Linked DNA regions of Anolis sagrei. Each later gene encodes a partner of the first gene's protein in a complex. Links are inferred from orthologs where the notes say so. Each region holds a gene or a part of one and is shown in the gene's direction. Other genes may lie near its edges.

Evidence for each region. Proteins that work in one complex are often made in the same cells at the same time.
Region 2: STX18 (region 1) and VTI1B share a complex: the UniProt entries of both Homo sapiens proteins name them as parts of the SNARE complex. The link is inferred for Anolis sagrei from reciprocal best matches to the Homo sapiens genes STX18 and VTI1B.

What each region holds. Positions count from the first base shown.
Region 1 is NC_090025.1:106,541,869-106,549,899, forward strand, and holds the start of STX18 (syntaxin-18), read left to right. Parts: upstream 1-5,006; 5' UTR 5,007-5,076; coding exon 5,077-5,262; intron 5,263-8,031. UniProt on the Homo sapiens protein: Syntaxin that may be involved in targeting and fusion of Golgi-derived retrograde transport vesicles with the ER.
Region 2 is NC_090021.1:281,960,786-281,967,690, forward strand, and holds the start of VTI1B (vesicle transport through interaction with t-SNAREs homolog 1B), read left to right. Parts: upstream 1-3,872; 5' UTR 3,873-3,928; coding exon 3,929-4,046; intron 4,047-6,905. UniProt on the Homo sapiens protein: V-SNARE that mediates vesicle transport pathways through interactions with t-SNAREs on the target membrane. These interactions are proposed to mediate aspects of the specificity of vesicle trafficking and to promote fusion of the lipid bilayers.

The sequences.
Region 1 (8,031 bases):
TGTAGCCAATTTTTTTTTTGTGGTGTCAGGAGCGACTTGAGAAACTGCAAGTCGCTTCTGGTGTGAGAGAATTGGCCGTCTGCAAGGACGTTGCCCAGGGGACGCCCGGATGATTTGATGTTTTTATCATCCTTGTGGGAGGCTTCTCTCATGTCCCCGCATGAGGAGCTGGAGCTGATAGAGGGAGCTCATCCGCCTCTCCCCAGATTTGAACCTGCGACCTGTTGGTCTTCAGTCCTGCTGGTACAGGGGCCTAACCCACTGCGCCACCGGGGGCTCCTTGTAGCCAAATGAATACTGATAAGAATCACAAATACCAACTAGTAGCATGGATTTTTTTTTAACCTTGGACCCATTCTGGATCTATTTTAGCATAGGACACATTTCGTTCTGGAGAAAGGCATACACACACCACCCTATGCAACAGCTATTTATATTACACTGTTTTAATCAAGTCACAACTTAAAAACAGTTCAGATGATGTAGCAAAGATTATTTGTTATCCTTACCTGGCAACTCAGTAAGGTGGCCTGTGGGTAGAGAAAAATAAAATAAAATGGTCTGGTTTTCAACGAGATCAAATTGTGAGGTCGTTTTTTCAATTCTTTGACTTCTGTTAACAGGGCTCCACATTTTAAGCATCAGAAGAACTTGAAATTATTTTCTTTTAACTTGGTGATCTATTAATGGAAATTGCTGTGAAGATAAGTCAACTTGGCAGAAGACTATTTAAGTTTGCAGGAAAATAATACAGAAGATGCCATCCTGCTGCTGGTTAAAAGCCAAAGAGTGTGTAATATGGCTCTGTTTTTTTCTTCTCTTCAACTAAAGTCTAAATATCCATTTAACTTCTAGGAGAAAAGGGGGTAGCTAGTATGTCATTCCCATCCAGTCAAATATCTTTCCCTGCCGTTTGAACCCATTGCTCCCTTGTGCCCTGGTCTCTAAAGCAGCAGGAAATCCTCAATGGGACACCTTCTGGAATCTTGAAACATGGTTCTCATGCTCCCACTCTACCTTCTCTTCTCCCAGCTAAACATCCACCCAGGAGGAAAGGAGGAAGGAAAAAGAGAAGGGAGGGAGGAAGAGATGATTGGAAGGAAGGTTGGAAGGGAATGGTTGGAGGGAGGGAGGGAGAGAAGGGAGGGAGGAAAGACAAAAGGGAAGGAAGGAGAAAGAGAGGAGGGAGGAAAGAGGGAAGGAAGGAAGGATGAAAAAATGGAAGAGAAGGAGGGAGGGAGAAAAGGGTAAAGAAGGAAGGAAGCGAGGGAGCGAAGGATAAGACAGTGGGAGAGAGGAGGGCCTGAGAAAAAAGTCCAAGGGGCTGCATTTGGCCCCCAGGCATGGGTTTATCCACACCTGGTCTGACACATCACCTCTTAACTTTCTCTTCTCCAGTCTAAACATACCCGGCTCCCTAGGCTGCTCCTCATAAGGTTTTGGCTTCCAGGCTACTTTTGGTTCCTCTCAATAACAATATCCTTCTTAAATTGTGGTGCCTAGAACTGGACGCATTATTCCTGTGAGGTCTGATCAAAGAGTGGAGTCAATAAAATAGATAAAACAAGACAATCATTTCCCTCAATCTGGGCATTATACTATTGATGCAGCCTAGAAAAGTATTGGTTTATTTAGCTATCACACCACACTGTTGACTGTGTGGAAGGGGCCATAAAAAACACAACAAAATCCCTACAAATCAGGGTTTACTAAATTGCTATTGAATACACAGGGCATGGTTTTAATGTTGTTTTGTTTAACAAATAGCTGTAAGGAACTTTTGGCAGCTAAATAGGCAGACATTTGCAGGCAGTGGCCTCTTCTGGTGGCAAAGGAAACCAACTCTCAGATCAATAAATGCAACAATTTTTATACAGCAGCACCTTTTGCGCTAAGAGTGCCTTGGACTGCGAGAAGATCCAACCAGTCCATCCTCCAGGAAATAAAGCCCGACTGCTCACTGGAGGGAAAGATACTAGAGACAAAGTTGAAGTACTTTGGCCACATCATGAGGAGACAGGAGAGCCTAGAGAAGACAATTATGCTGGGGAAAGTGGAAGACAAAAGGAAGAGGGGCCGACCAAGGGCAAGATGGATGGATGGCATCCTTGAAGTGACTGGACTGACCTTGAGGGAGCTGGGGGTGGTAACGGCTGACAGGGAGCTCTGGCGTGGGCTGGTCCATGAGGTCACGAAGAGTCGGAGACGACTGAACGAATGAACAACAACAACAACCTTTTGCGCAGGGAGCACGTTCCCAATGATACTATGAAACAAAATTTGGGAGTAAAAAATCTGTTCTTGGTTTGAAAGGGTTATTTCCTTAATTGTGCGGTACTTACTTTGAAGTAAGACTTTGATGCAGACTGCAGCCAGAAAATCAGATGCTTACTTCTTGGGAGGAGAGCAATGACCAATCTTGATAAAATAGTGAAGAGTAGAGACATCACACTGGCAACAAATATCCTCATAGTAAAAGCAATGGTATTCCCCGTAGTCACCTATGGATGTGAGAGCTGGACCTTAGGGAAAACTGAGCCAAGGAAGATAGATGCTTTTGAATTGTGGTGTTGGAGGAAAGTGCTGAGAGTGCCTTGGACTGTGAGAAGATCCAACCAGTCCATACTTCAGGAAATAAAACCCAACTACTCATTGGAGGGAAGGATATTAGAGGCAAAGATTAAGTACTTTGGCCACATCATGAGAAGACAGGAAAGCTTAGAGAAGACGATGCTGGAGGAAATTGAAGGAAAAAGGAAGAGGGGCCAACCAAGGGCAAGATGAATGGATGGCATCGTTGAAGTAACTGGCTTGATCTTGAAGGAGCTGGAGGTGGTGATGGCCGACAGGGAGCTCTGGCGTGGGCTGGTCTATGAGGTCACAAAGAGTCAGAAGAGGACTGAACGAATGAACAACAACAACATACTTTGAAAGTAGTTGTTATACCCCAGAAACTTTGTTTTTGTGGCTGCCACAAACAATGTTGAATTGGTTGAGACTGGATGAGAGAGTCATTGAAAAACCATAGCAAAATGTGCTGCAGGATAACATGCAAACACAAAGTTTTGTCTGTTTAATAAAAAAAATCTCATTTTCTTATGATAGAACCAATTCGGAAATGGCATTTATAACCCAGGAACAAAAATCGTGTTGCATAGTGAAATCTCCTTGGGATTCACAGCTGTGAATATGGCATCGCGGGAGAGAAGTGTCCTTAGGAGGGCGACTAAAACAATCAAGGGTCTGGAGAACAAGCCCTACAAGGAGCAGCTTTCACTTTCATTACACCCAAGGCTTTTTCACTCTTAACACATACAGATTTTCAGGGAAGTCATGCTACCTGTCTATTCTGCCTTGGTTAGACCACATCTGGAATACTGTGTCGAATTCTGGGCACCACAGTTGAAGGGAGATGTTGACAAGCTGGAAAGTGTCCAGAGGAGGGCAACTAAAATGATCAAGGGCCTGGAGAACAAGCCCTATGAGGAGCGGCTTAAAGAGCTGGGCATGTTTAGCCTGAAGAAGAGAAAACCGAGGAGACATGGGTTGTTGTAGGTTTTTTCGGGCTATATGGCCATGGTCTAGAGGCATTCTCTCCTGATGTTTTGTCTGCATCTAGGCAAGCATCCTCAGAGGTAGTGAGGTCTGTTGGAGCTAGGAAAAAGGGTTTATATATCTGTGGAATGACCATGGTGAGACAAAGGACTCTTGTCTGCTGGAGCTAGGTGTGAATGTTCCAACTGACCACCTTGATTAGCATATAATGGCTTGACAGTGCCTAGAGCAAACTTTTGTTGAGAGGTGATTAGATGTCCTTGTTTGTTTCCTCTCTGTTGTTGTGCTGTTGTAATTTTAGAGTTTTTTTAATACTGGTAGCCAGAGGAGACATGATAGCCATGTATAAGTATGTGAGAGAAAGTCATAGGGAGGAGGGAGCAAGCTTGTTTTCTGCTTCCCCGGAGACTAGGACGCGGAACAATGGCTTCAAATTACAAGAAAGGAGATTCCATCTGAACATTAGGAAGAACTTCCTGACTTTTTTTTTTATTTCGTGTCAGGGCAGCCAGTCAATTATATTACATTTCTAACAGAACAAAGCAAACAAACAGAGAAAATACAAAATTTGTGAGTTTGGTAGTTGATTAAATGTCCTTTGACCAGTATCTGGCCACTTGGAGTGCTTCTGGTGTTGCTGCAAGAAGGTCCTCCATTGTGCATGTGGCAGGGCTCAGGGTGCATTGGAGCAGGTGATCTGTGGTTTGCTCCTCTCCACATTCGCATGTCAAGGATTCCACTTTGTAGCCCCATTTCTGAAGGTTGGCTCTGCATCTCGTGGTGCCAGAGCACAGTCTGTTCAGCGCCTTCCAAGTCGCCCAGTCCTCTGTGTGCCCAGCGGGGAGTTTCTCATTTGGTATCAGCCATTGGTTGAGGTTCTGGGTTTGAGCCTGCCACTTTTGGACTCTCGCTTGCTGAGGCGTTCCAGCGAGTGTCTCTGTAGATCTTATAAAACTATGTCTGGATTTAAGTCGCTGACGTGCTGGCTGATACCCAAACAGGGGATGAGCTGGAGATGTCTCTGCCTTGGTCATTTCACTTCCTGACTGTGAGAGCTGTTCAGCAGTGGAACTCTCTGCCCCAGAGTGTGGTGGAGGCTCCTTCTTTGGAGGCTTTTGAACAGAGGCTGGATGGCCATTGTCGGGGGTGCTTTCAATGCAATTTTCCTGCTTCTTGGCAGGGGGTTGGACTGGATGGCCCACGAGATCGCTTCCAACTCTATGATTCTATGATTCTAGGTGAGAATCATGCCATGCTTCAAAATGAGATGCAGGAAGAAAGCAGTCCAAACATCTTTGGGGGACGAGATTACTCCACTACAGGAAGTCCCTACAGGAAGTGAGAGGTTGCCAAGGAAACGTTTTATGAGACATGTCAATTTCAGACAGGGCGAGGGCGTCACCAAGAGGGCACTCAGTGGAGGCGGAACCTTCGGGCGCGGCCCAGTTGCGAGAGGGAAGGCTTTGAGGAAAGGACGCGTGGGCAGGAGAGGCCCGCCCACCTGCCCGCCTCAGCCCAGCCATGGCCGTGGACATCACGCTGCTGTTCAAAGCCAGCGTGAAGACGGTGAAGACCCGGAACAAGGCGCTCGGGGTCCCGCTGGGCGGCAGCGGAGGCAGCAGCAGCGACTCCTCCCGCGATGAGGCCCTCCTCATCCTCAAGCGCTCCCGGCCAAGGAGCGACTTTTCCAACCGGGCCCGGGAAGTGGTGAGTCCTCAGGAAGGAAGGAAGGAAAGCTAGCAGGGAGGGAAAGCAGGAAGGCTGCGACGTGGCTCTGGGCTCCTTCCGGGAGATTTTAGGGGAGAGAACATAAAAAGGAGTCTCAATCCTATTGAAAGGAATGACATTTGGGAATCAGTCATTGAACCCAATGGGATTTCCTTGTGAGAAAGTCAGCTTAAACCTCAGAGCCCCTCCAAACAGCTGTATGGCCCAGAATATCAAGTCAGATAATCCACAATATCTGCTTTGTACTGGATTATATGAGTCCACACAGCCATATAATCCAGTTCAATATGGATTTTATATAGCTGTGTGGAAGGTGCCTCAGGGCCCTTCCACAAATCCCTATATCCCGGAATATCGAGGCAGACAATCCCACATTACCTGCTTTGAACTGGGTTATCCGAGTCCACATTCCGATAATGTGTGATTTTCTGCTTTGATATTATGGGTTATATGGCTGTATGGAAGGGCTCTTAGAGGTTTCTCATTACATTTTTGCAACATACCTATATGCATAGGCAAACACTTGTGGCTGAATATGAGAATATAATATTAATAATAATAAACTTTATTTATACCCCGCCACCATCTCGCCAATGGTGGAGCCCCTAGTGGCGCAGTAGGTTAAACCCCTATCTGAAGGTTGACAGGTCGCAGGTTCGAATCGGGGAGAGGCGGATGAGCTCCCTCTATCAGCTCTAGTTCCTCATGCGGGGGACATGAGAGAAGCCACCCACAAGGATGATTTTTTTTTTTGTCGTGTCAGAAGTCGCTTCTGGTGTGAGAGAATTGGCCGTCTGCCAATTTTTTTTGTCACATCAGGAGCGACCTGAGAAACTGCAAGTTGCTTCTGGTGTGAGAGAATTGGCCGTCTGCAAGGACATTGCCCAGGGGACACCAGGATGATTTGATGTTTTTATCATCCTTGTGGGAGGCTTCTCTCATGTCCCCGCATGACAAGGATGATAAAAACATCAAATCATCCTGGTGTCCCCTGGGCAATGTCCTTGCAGACGGCCAATTCTCTCACACCAGAAGCAACTTGCAGTTTCTCAGGTCGCTCCTGACATGACAAAAAAAAATATCCCCAATGAGGACTCGGAGCGGCTTACATGAGGCAAGCCCAAACAACAAATTACAATAAAATAAAACCAAAAACGCAAACAATAAACAACAGCAACATAATTACATAGAACATGTGAAAAACATAGCAATATAAAATTACAGTAGGCACAATCACAATGACAGTGGGCGGATTACATGTAATGGTTAAAAGAGAGACTGATTAAAAACTGATTAAAACTCAGGTGAGATAAGAAAGAAACAGATTATTTGCAGAGGAGGGCTCATTATAGTGGTGGTTGTGGGATCAGGCTTTCCCACAAGGGAGGGCATGTACTCTAATGACAAAGTGTTGATGCACTAGTATGAAGATGTAAACCTATTCATCAAAAGCGCAGCGGAAGAGCCAGGTATTAAGGTTCTTTTTATGATTGTCTTCTGGAGACAGAGCCCCCTTCTAAACTGCCATATAAAATCCAGATTATTTGCTTTGAAATGGATTATATGGCACTGTACACTCATATAATCCAATTCAAGTCAGATGATGCGGATTATTTGCATTGACAATCTGGATTATGTGGCAGTGTAGAAGGGGCCTCATATAATCCAGTTCAAAGCAGGTAATGTGGATTTTATATCGTAGCCCTTCCACACAGCCCCATATCCCAGAATATCAAGGGTGAAAATCCCACTATATCTGCTTTGAACAGGGGGCCCTTGCACAAAGCCCTGTATCCCAGAATATCAAGGCAAAATAAATAAATAAATAAATCCCACGTTATCAGAGTATGGACTTGGGGCCCTTCCACACAGCCCTATATCCCAGAATATCAAGGCAGAAAATCTCACAATATCTGCTTTGAACTGGGTTATCTGAGTTCACACTCAGATAATGTGGGATTTCCTGCCTTGATATTCTTTGATATAGAGCTGTGTGGAAAGGCCTTAAGTCTGTCATTTATGTGTTCACAAGAGAGGTGTTGAAGCTTAGTAGGGAAGATGGACCAACTACCACAGTTCAGATATGCATTTCCGTATCACATTTCTCTTGGTGTTTTCCACTTTTTCTGTAGTTCTTAGGTGAGTTTGAAATCGGCATAGAAGGAAGCAGTGTCGGTGTGTGACTGATTACATTGGAAACACTGGAACTGGTTTGACACCTGTATAGTAATTTCATATAACGCAGAGGTTGACCGTGAACCAGTTCTAGGATCCACAGTATCTGTGGGACTTGATAAATGCAGAGAATGTGGGGGGTTTTTTTTTCAACCCTCTCCACCGGAATGTACATCCTTCGATCAGCAGAGTGTTTTGGGTTTCTGCACAGTGATTCCCATTCTACGAAAGGGGTTTTCTGTGAAATGTGGTTTACACTAGAGTGTGCTTATGTGCATTAAGGACTTTATTTTGGACTTTCCTCTGACTGTAGTGAGCTTGATTTAAAGCCCTTAAAGTGCACTGAGGTATGCCTTTGAAGTGTGTGTAGCCTAACCACCACACACTGAAGAATGGTCAGTGTAGATCTGTCCTTAGGCTCATTTGCTATTTTATTTGTATGTGTATTGGTGCTGGTGGTGAGGATCTCTTTCTACTTGATATTGATAAAGCATCAATACAGGTTGAGCAGCCTTGACACAAAATGCTTAGAACCAGAAGTATTTAGATTCTGCCCCCCACCCCAATTTTGGA
Region 2 (6,905 bases), on another chromosome or scaffold:
GTTTGAATCCTCTTGTCCTTTATAAACCACCTCATCTGGGCTGGAACTAGTTTGTAAAACTGTTCTAAGCAAACCAAATGCCTCAGTTGGTCAAATGTGGAGACTTTACTGCCTTCAAGCCACCTTTGTAAAGCTTTTTCTATTCTAGAGCCCACCTGTGAATAGGTTTTTCACCATTCTTTCTTTTAATTTCTCTGAAAGTCTTTCTAATTTGCTCCACACTTTCACCCTTTCCTTAAATATAGCATAGTTTGTACACTCAGTGTCCCTTAACTGTGCACATCTTTCACTAAGCTCAGTGTATATCAAAGGCCTTATATGTGCCATCTTTCTTTCCTCAAGCACCTTAAAATCAGCGCAAGTCCTTTCAAAACTTGCGAGGAAACTTTCCACACAGTCCCCTCTTGAGTACTTTGGGAAATGCTTTATTTGAGAGGCTAATGGCTCAGATTGGGTTTCACTTGGACTGGATGTGGGTTGTCTTTCTTGTAATTTCAACTCCATCATCCCTTCTTCATGCTTCATTCTCTCCCTTTCTTTCTCAATCTCCAGTTGTCTTTCTTTCTCTCTAGCCTCCTGTTTCATTCTCTCAGCCTCAAGTTGTTTTTCTCTCTCTCTCTCATTGGCTTCTATCATTCTCTCTTTCTCTCTAATCTTATGTTTCATTTTCTCAGCCTCAAATTCCATCCTCCTAAGTTCAATTTCCATTCTCATCTTTTCCAATTCTAGGGAGGTAGTCACCATTTCTGGACTCTCTACCCTTTCTTCAGTCACAGTCTCTAACATCTCAGCCTCCTGCCTCTCCTCTCCTACTGGAGTTGCTGAGGTCTTTTTATTTGTAGGTGGAGCCATCACTACAGGGTTTCAAAATGGGGTTTCTGGGCAGTTTCTGAGGTACCTCCAGATCACTTTGGGACAAACGTTTACCTCAGGTTTTTGATCTAACATACTGGATCAAGCCTTAAAGTTACTATCCCACCGCTGAACACTCAAAAATTTTAAATCACGCCACTGGTCGTCAGTTTAAAGGATCATAGTTACCAATTCCACAACTAGACACAACTATGATGGAATATGATTCTGGCACAGAGCATTTATATATATGTGAAGTAACATGTATGTACTTTGGTAGATTTGCTGCCACCACCCAAAATACTTTGGGAAATTAAAGAATGATTCCCTGAGGTAATCCTCTTCCTTGCCCACCAGCTCTCCCTTAAGCTCCTTGAGATGACTGTGAAGTAAAGATGGTAAAACAGCTAGTATTATTCCCACTGGAATGAATCACTATTGAGGCTTCTTTAAAGTTGAACTAGAGAATATGCTTATTGATAATACAGAACAAACAACTATCTTCTTTAATGAGGCACACAAGCTTGAATGGTTTCTAAAGTACAGTAATCTTGATGGTTACTATAAACAGTTTCTTGTCTTAGATATGAGTAAAACTCCTCACTCTACAACACAGCAGCAGTGCGTTCCCCAGACAAACCTAACCAGGTTGTCCCCAGAGCAATTAGCTACACTCTAAGCAGAGTCCTCTAAAAGCTAATCTACTCTAACCCAGAGAGCAAACCACTTGTGTAAAAACCAACACAAGCACCCAGGCAACTACTTTGACCCTCTTGGTCAATAATGCAGCCTTGCCTGTCACAAAATGCTCTCTCACAGAAAAATCTAAGCTCACCAAAAATCTACCTTTCTTCTCCTCTGTTCCCAAAACCAATCTCTCTTCTCTCTCTCAAGCTGACACTTTCCCCTCTCTGTGCTTAACTCCTCCCATCTGTCCTAATCAATCCAGAGGGAGCTCCAGCTCCTCCCCTTCTTCTCATTTTACACTCCCAAGATGTCTGCCTCCTCTGCCTAAACTCCCAAAATGGAGGCCTGCCTACTGACATCTCAGGCTCCTACTTTGGCCTACGAAGTAAGAATCATTACATGAAGCTTGCTGGAGAATACAACTGTGTGTGTAAACTGTAAAATAACATGCATGAAGCTGATTGGTTGGGCAATGCATAGGGTGATGGCTGAGCCTGGAACTTTTGGATACTGTTGCACATTTGTTCAGGCTCGAGCTATGCAGCTGCAGAGAGACAGACAGATTTGCTCTTTGGCTGCTGAAAGAAGGTCTCTCATATGGACAAAGAAATACCATTTTAAATTTCTCTAAAAGGACAGTATGTGAGTTGGTGCAACGGATCATATTGTACATATGTTGTTCTGAACTAAGAAGAGTTCAGGTAACACAACAGAGATGGGAGGGGGAAAGTTGGTAAGGATAATTGATGATGGAATTTAAAGGTTTCCTCAGCAGCAATGAACAACCCAAAGTTCGGTCTGTAGAAATAAAGCTATGTTATAATCTCCTTGTTTCTGGTCTCAATTGGGAAACAAGGGCAGGAATATATTTAAAGGAAGATCTGCTTTAATATTTCAGATATTTTTGTTGGATGCCTTTAAGTCACTTCCAGTTTATGGCAGCCCTGTCTCAGGGATTTCTTGCCAAGTTTTTTTTTGGAGGGTTTGCCATTGCCTTCCTAAGAAACTGTGCAGGTTCTAAGCTCTGCCAGGGAGGCCGTCCTCTCGGTCCTGCCCCCATCTCAAATATGGCTGATGGGGATGAGGAAGAGGGCCTTCTCAGTGGTTGCCCCCTGGCTTTGGAACACCTTCCCCAAGGAAATCAGGCAAGCCACCACAATTCAGTCTTTTTGGAGGGACCTGAAGACATAGCTCTTCAAGGTGGCCTTTGATGATGGTTAAGGTATCATCTATATTGGCTGAGCTAAATGAAGTTCTACCCTAACACATTACCCCTGATATTTTTAACCTGTCTTGTGGCTGGGACGTTAAACTCGGTTTGTATAATGTTTTCTCGAAGGTTTTCATGGCTGGAATCAATGGGTTGCTGTGAGTTTTCCAGGATGTATGGCCATGTTCCAGAAGCATTCTCTCCTGACATTTCGCCCACATCTATGGCAGGCATCCTTAGAAGTCGAGGGGTCAGTTGGAAACTGGTAAGTGGGGTTTATATAACTGTGGAGTGTTCAGCGTGGGGGAAAGAACTCTTGTTTGCTTGAGGTATGTGTGACAAGAATCAATCAGGGCCAGCTAACAGCTCCCGACAAAGGATTCCCCCAGGCAGCAACCAGCCAGGCCTTGAAACTGCAGGCCATTAAATGCTAATCAAGGTGGCAAATTGCAACATTCACAGGTACCTCTAGCAGACAAGAGTTCTTTCATTTATTTATTTATATTTATTTACAGTATTTATATTCCGCCCTTCTCACCCCGCAGGGGACTCAGGGTGGATTACAATGTACATATACATGCCATAGACACACAACACATATATACAGAGGCTATTTAACATTCCAGCTTTTGATGAGGGTATTCTGGCCACCAGGGGAGCTGTTGCTTCACCGTCCATTTGTGACACTGATGAAGTACTTCCTTATTCTTTGCATTCTTGCTGGAGATTTTTATGGTATCATAAATTAGTTAAATTAGCCTCCCCGCGTACGCAGTACCTAAATTTCCTACTTGACAGATGCAACTGTCTTTCGAGCTGCAAAGGTTGACAGCAAGCTACACAAATTGGTCGGATGCTCACTCCGACCTGGGCTGGCTTCCAACTCATGACCTTTTGGTCAGTAGTGATCTTAATGCAGCTGACTCCCAGCCAGCTGCGCCACAGTCCCGGTGCAATTCTGGCTGTTAGGAATTGTGGGAGTTGAAGTCCAAAACACCTGGAGGGTCGAGGTTTGCTTATGCCTGTTTCCTGGCGTAATGAGGCCCTCCAGGGCGAAGGGGGCGCTGTTCCGCTGCGCTCGTGGGTGTTTCTGGGCGGTGTGCCGGGCCCCTCTTCCGGTGCAGGGGCCGGAAGTGCCTGTCGGGAAGCGGCAGGGGCCTGTTTCGGGAGGCCGGCGCTATGGAGGGTCGCGGCAGCGGCTCTTCGGAGCACCTGGAGCGGCTGCACGAAATCTTCCGCGGCCTCCACGAGGAGTTGCGAGCTGGGCCGGAGAGGCTGCGCGGGAGCCAGGCGGTCGGTACGTGAAGAAGGAAGGGCCCTCGGGCCGGAGCCTTGGAGGCGGGGAAGAAGGAGGGGACAGATGAGGCCTGGGCACACTTCGGGGGTTTTGAACTCCCAACTCCCACAATTCCTAACAGCCGGAATTTTACTGAAGTAGCCTGAAAAGGGCCGTCACCCACGAGGTCATACCAGACGTGGGCAAACTTCGGCCCTCCAGGTGTTTTGGACTTCAGCTCCCACAAGTCCTTAACAGGCTGTGAGGAGTTGTGGGAGTTGAGGTCCAAAACACCTGGAGGCCCGAAGTTTGCCCATGCCTGCGCTATAATAATGCAGTGAGGATGGTCACACTACACTTCTAAAGGGTTAGTATCCCACTTTAAACCCACTGGCTGCCTCCTCTGAAATCCTGGGATTGGCACTTTAGGGAGGGGCCTTTACAGGCCTGTAGCCAGGATTTCGATTCGGGTGGGGGGGCTGAGTTTGTTTTGGGGGGGGGGCTGAGTCAGTGAAAGAGGGTCTACGCTAGCAAACCTTTTGTATCGTTACTCCAATACCCCCATGCATATGGGATATATTGAGCACGGTGATCAGATCATGATATGAATAAACATAACAGTTTAAATAATGCACCAGTAAGGCCTTTTCGCGAACCACCATGAGAATTTCAGGGGAGGGGGCTAAAGCCCCCCAAGCCCCCCCCCCCCCCCTGGCTACTTACCTGCGCCTTTACAACCCTCTGCCAGAGAGATCCTTATCCTTATTACATTGCAAACCCCAGAACTATGCAAGAGGCAGCCATAGGATTTAAAGAGATGCCCACGCTTTAAAGTAGGGATGGGCAGACGTTGACCAGCTGTTTTGGACTCCAACACTCACAAGTCCTAACAGGCAGTTAGGACTATGGGAGTTGAAGTCCAAAACACCTGTAGGTCCCAAGTTTGCCCATGCCTGCTTTAAAAATGTAGTGTGATAATCTCCAATTGTATACGATTGTAGCACAAGTATTCTATTCTAATTACTATGGCAACATCTCGTGGAATTCTGGGTTTTGTAGTGTGAGGCCCCAGAGCTCTCTGGCTGCATTCTAAACAGCACTTCCTAAACAGCAGATGGAAACAGGTCAGTTAAACTGGAATAATAGTACTATTTTTTTTTGTCATGTCAGGAGCAACTGCTCCTGTTGTGAGAGAATTGGCCGTCTGCAAGGACGTTGCCCAGGGGACGCCTAGATGATTATTGATGTTTTATCATCCTTGTGGGAGGCTTCTCTCATGTCCTCGCATGAGGAGCTGGAGCTAGTAGAGGGAGCTCATCTGTCTCTCCCTGGATTCGAACCTGCAACCTGTCAGTCTTCAGTCCTGCCAGCACAGTGCTTTAACCCACTGCGCCACCAGGGTCTCCATAATAGTACTATAATACTGTAGAACAGTGGTTCCCAACCTTTGGTTCTCCAGGTGTTTTGGATTTCCAATTCCCAGAAATCCTAGCCATTTTACAAGCTGTTAGGAATTGCAGGAGCTGAAGTCCCCAAAACACCTGGAGTACCAAAGGTTGGGAACCACTGCTTTAGAACTACTGTATTTCATTGAAATCGAATGCCCACCTGGTTTGGCTAAATTACCTTCCCAAAATTCGGGTGTGCATTAGATTCATGTAATATGATTTTTTGTGCTGAATCAAAGCTAAAGGCGAAGCTATTTCAGGAGCACCTGGAGCTCCTATTTGAGGGACATCATCTCTAATTTAATTCCCATGGCTCAATGCTATGCAATGTTGGGATTTATAGTTTGGTGAGGAATTAGCATTCTTTGACATTCCAGTCACTCTATAGCATTGAGCTAGGGCAGTTAAAGTGCTTCATTCTACAGCATAGAGGCACCCCAAGGTTCCATTGCTTAAAGCTTTGGTGTTCTAACACTTTTGTTTTTAAAGAAGGAATTATAAGTGCACAGCAGACCTTCTTTGGCCAAATTACAAAGAGTGCACTTTTGTCACTTCGCATTACATTCGCCAGCAAATACTTTTTTTTTTTTTTTTTGGTTTCAGGGTTTTGAAAATTGAGGTCCGCATTAGATTCGATGGCGCATTAGACTTGAGTACATATGAGTATAACAGTGTGGTGTAAGAAGGCCCTACGCTGTTACAGCACTGTTAGTTGCAATCCTGTGGGCCTTTGCAGTTTATTGAGGTACCAGACCTCTCTGACTAGGAATCCTAAAGTCCCCTCCTTCACTGGTAATCCCAGGATTCCATAGGATGTTGCCATGGCAGGTACAGTGGAACAATGCCACTCAAGTGGGAGCGTGATAAGGCCCTTCACTGGTACAGCATTGTTATAAGACAGAGCTTCCCAACCATGTCATGCTGGGCACACACCTTTTAGATATGTATCATTTCACAAGGCGGTAAGTCAGTTTTACTAGCAAACTAGAGGTTAAACCAGCCCCTTCAAAGAAATGTGGACAGATTTATTAATTGGAATGATGAAATGTAGAAAGACACAAAATATTTCAGGAAAACCTTTCATTTATATATTTAAAAATATATGATTTGTAAGATAACACACAGTTCTAAGATTTGTGTCATTTCGTTTTACATTCACACAACACACCTACACACTGCAACCAACACTTTGATGTGAGGCAACACAAAGTTTGAAAAGCTCTGTTATAAGGACTTAAAGAACATTTGACAGTCAAAAGTGATTGTCATAAAGCAGTGGTTCTCAACCTTTCTAATGCCGTGACCCCTAAATACAGTTCCTCGTGTTATGGTGACCCCCAACCATAAAATTATTTTTGTTGCTACGTTATAACTGTAATTTTGCTACTGTTATGAATTGTAATGTAAAATATCTGATATGCAGGATGTATTT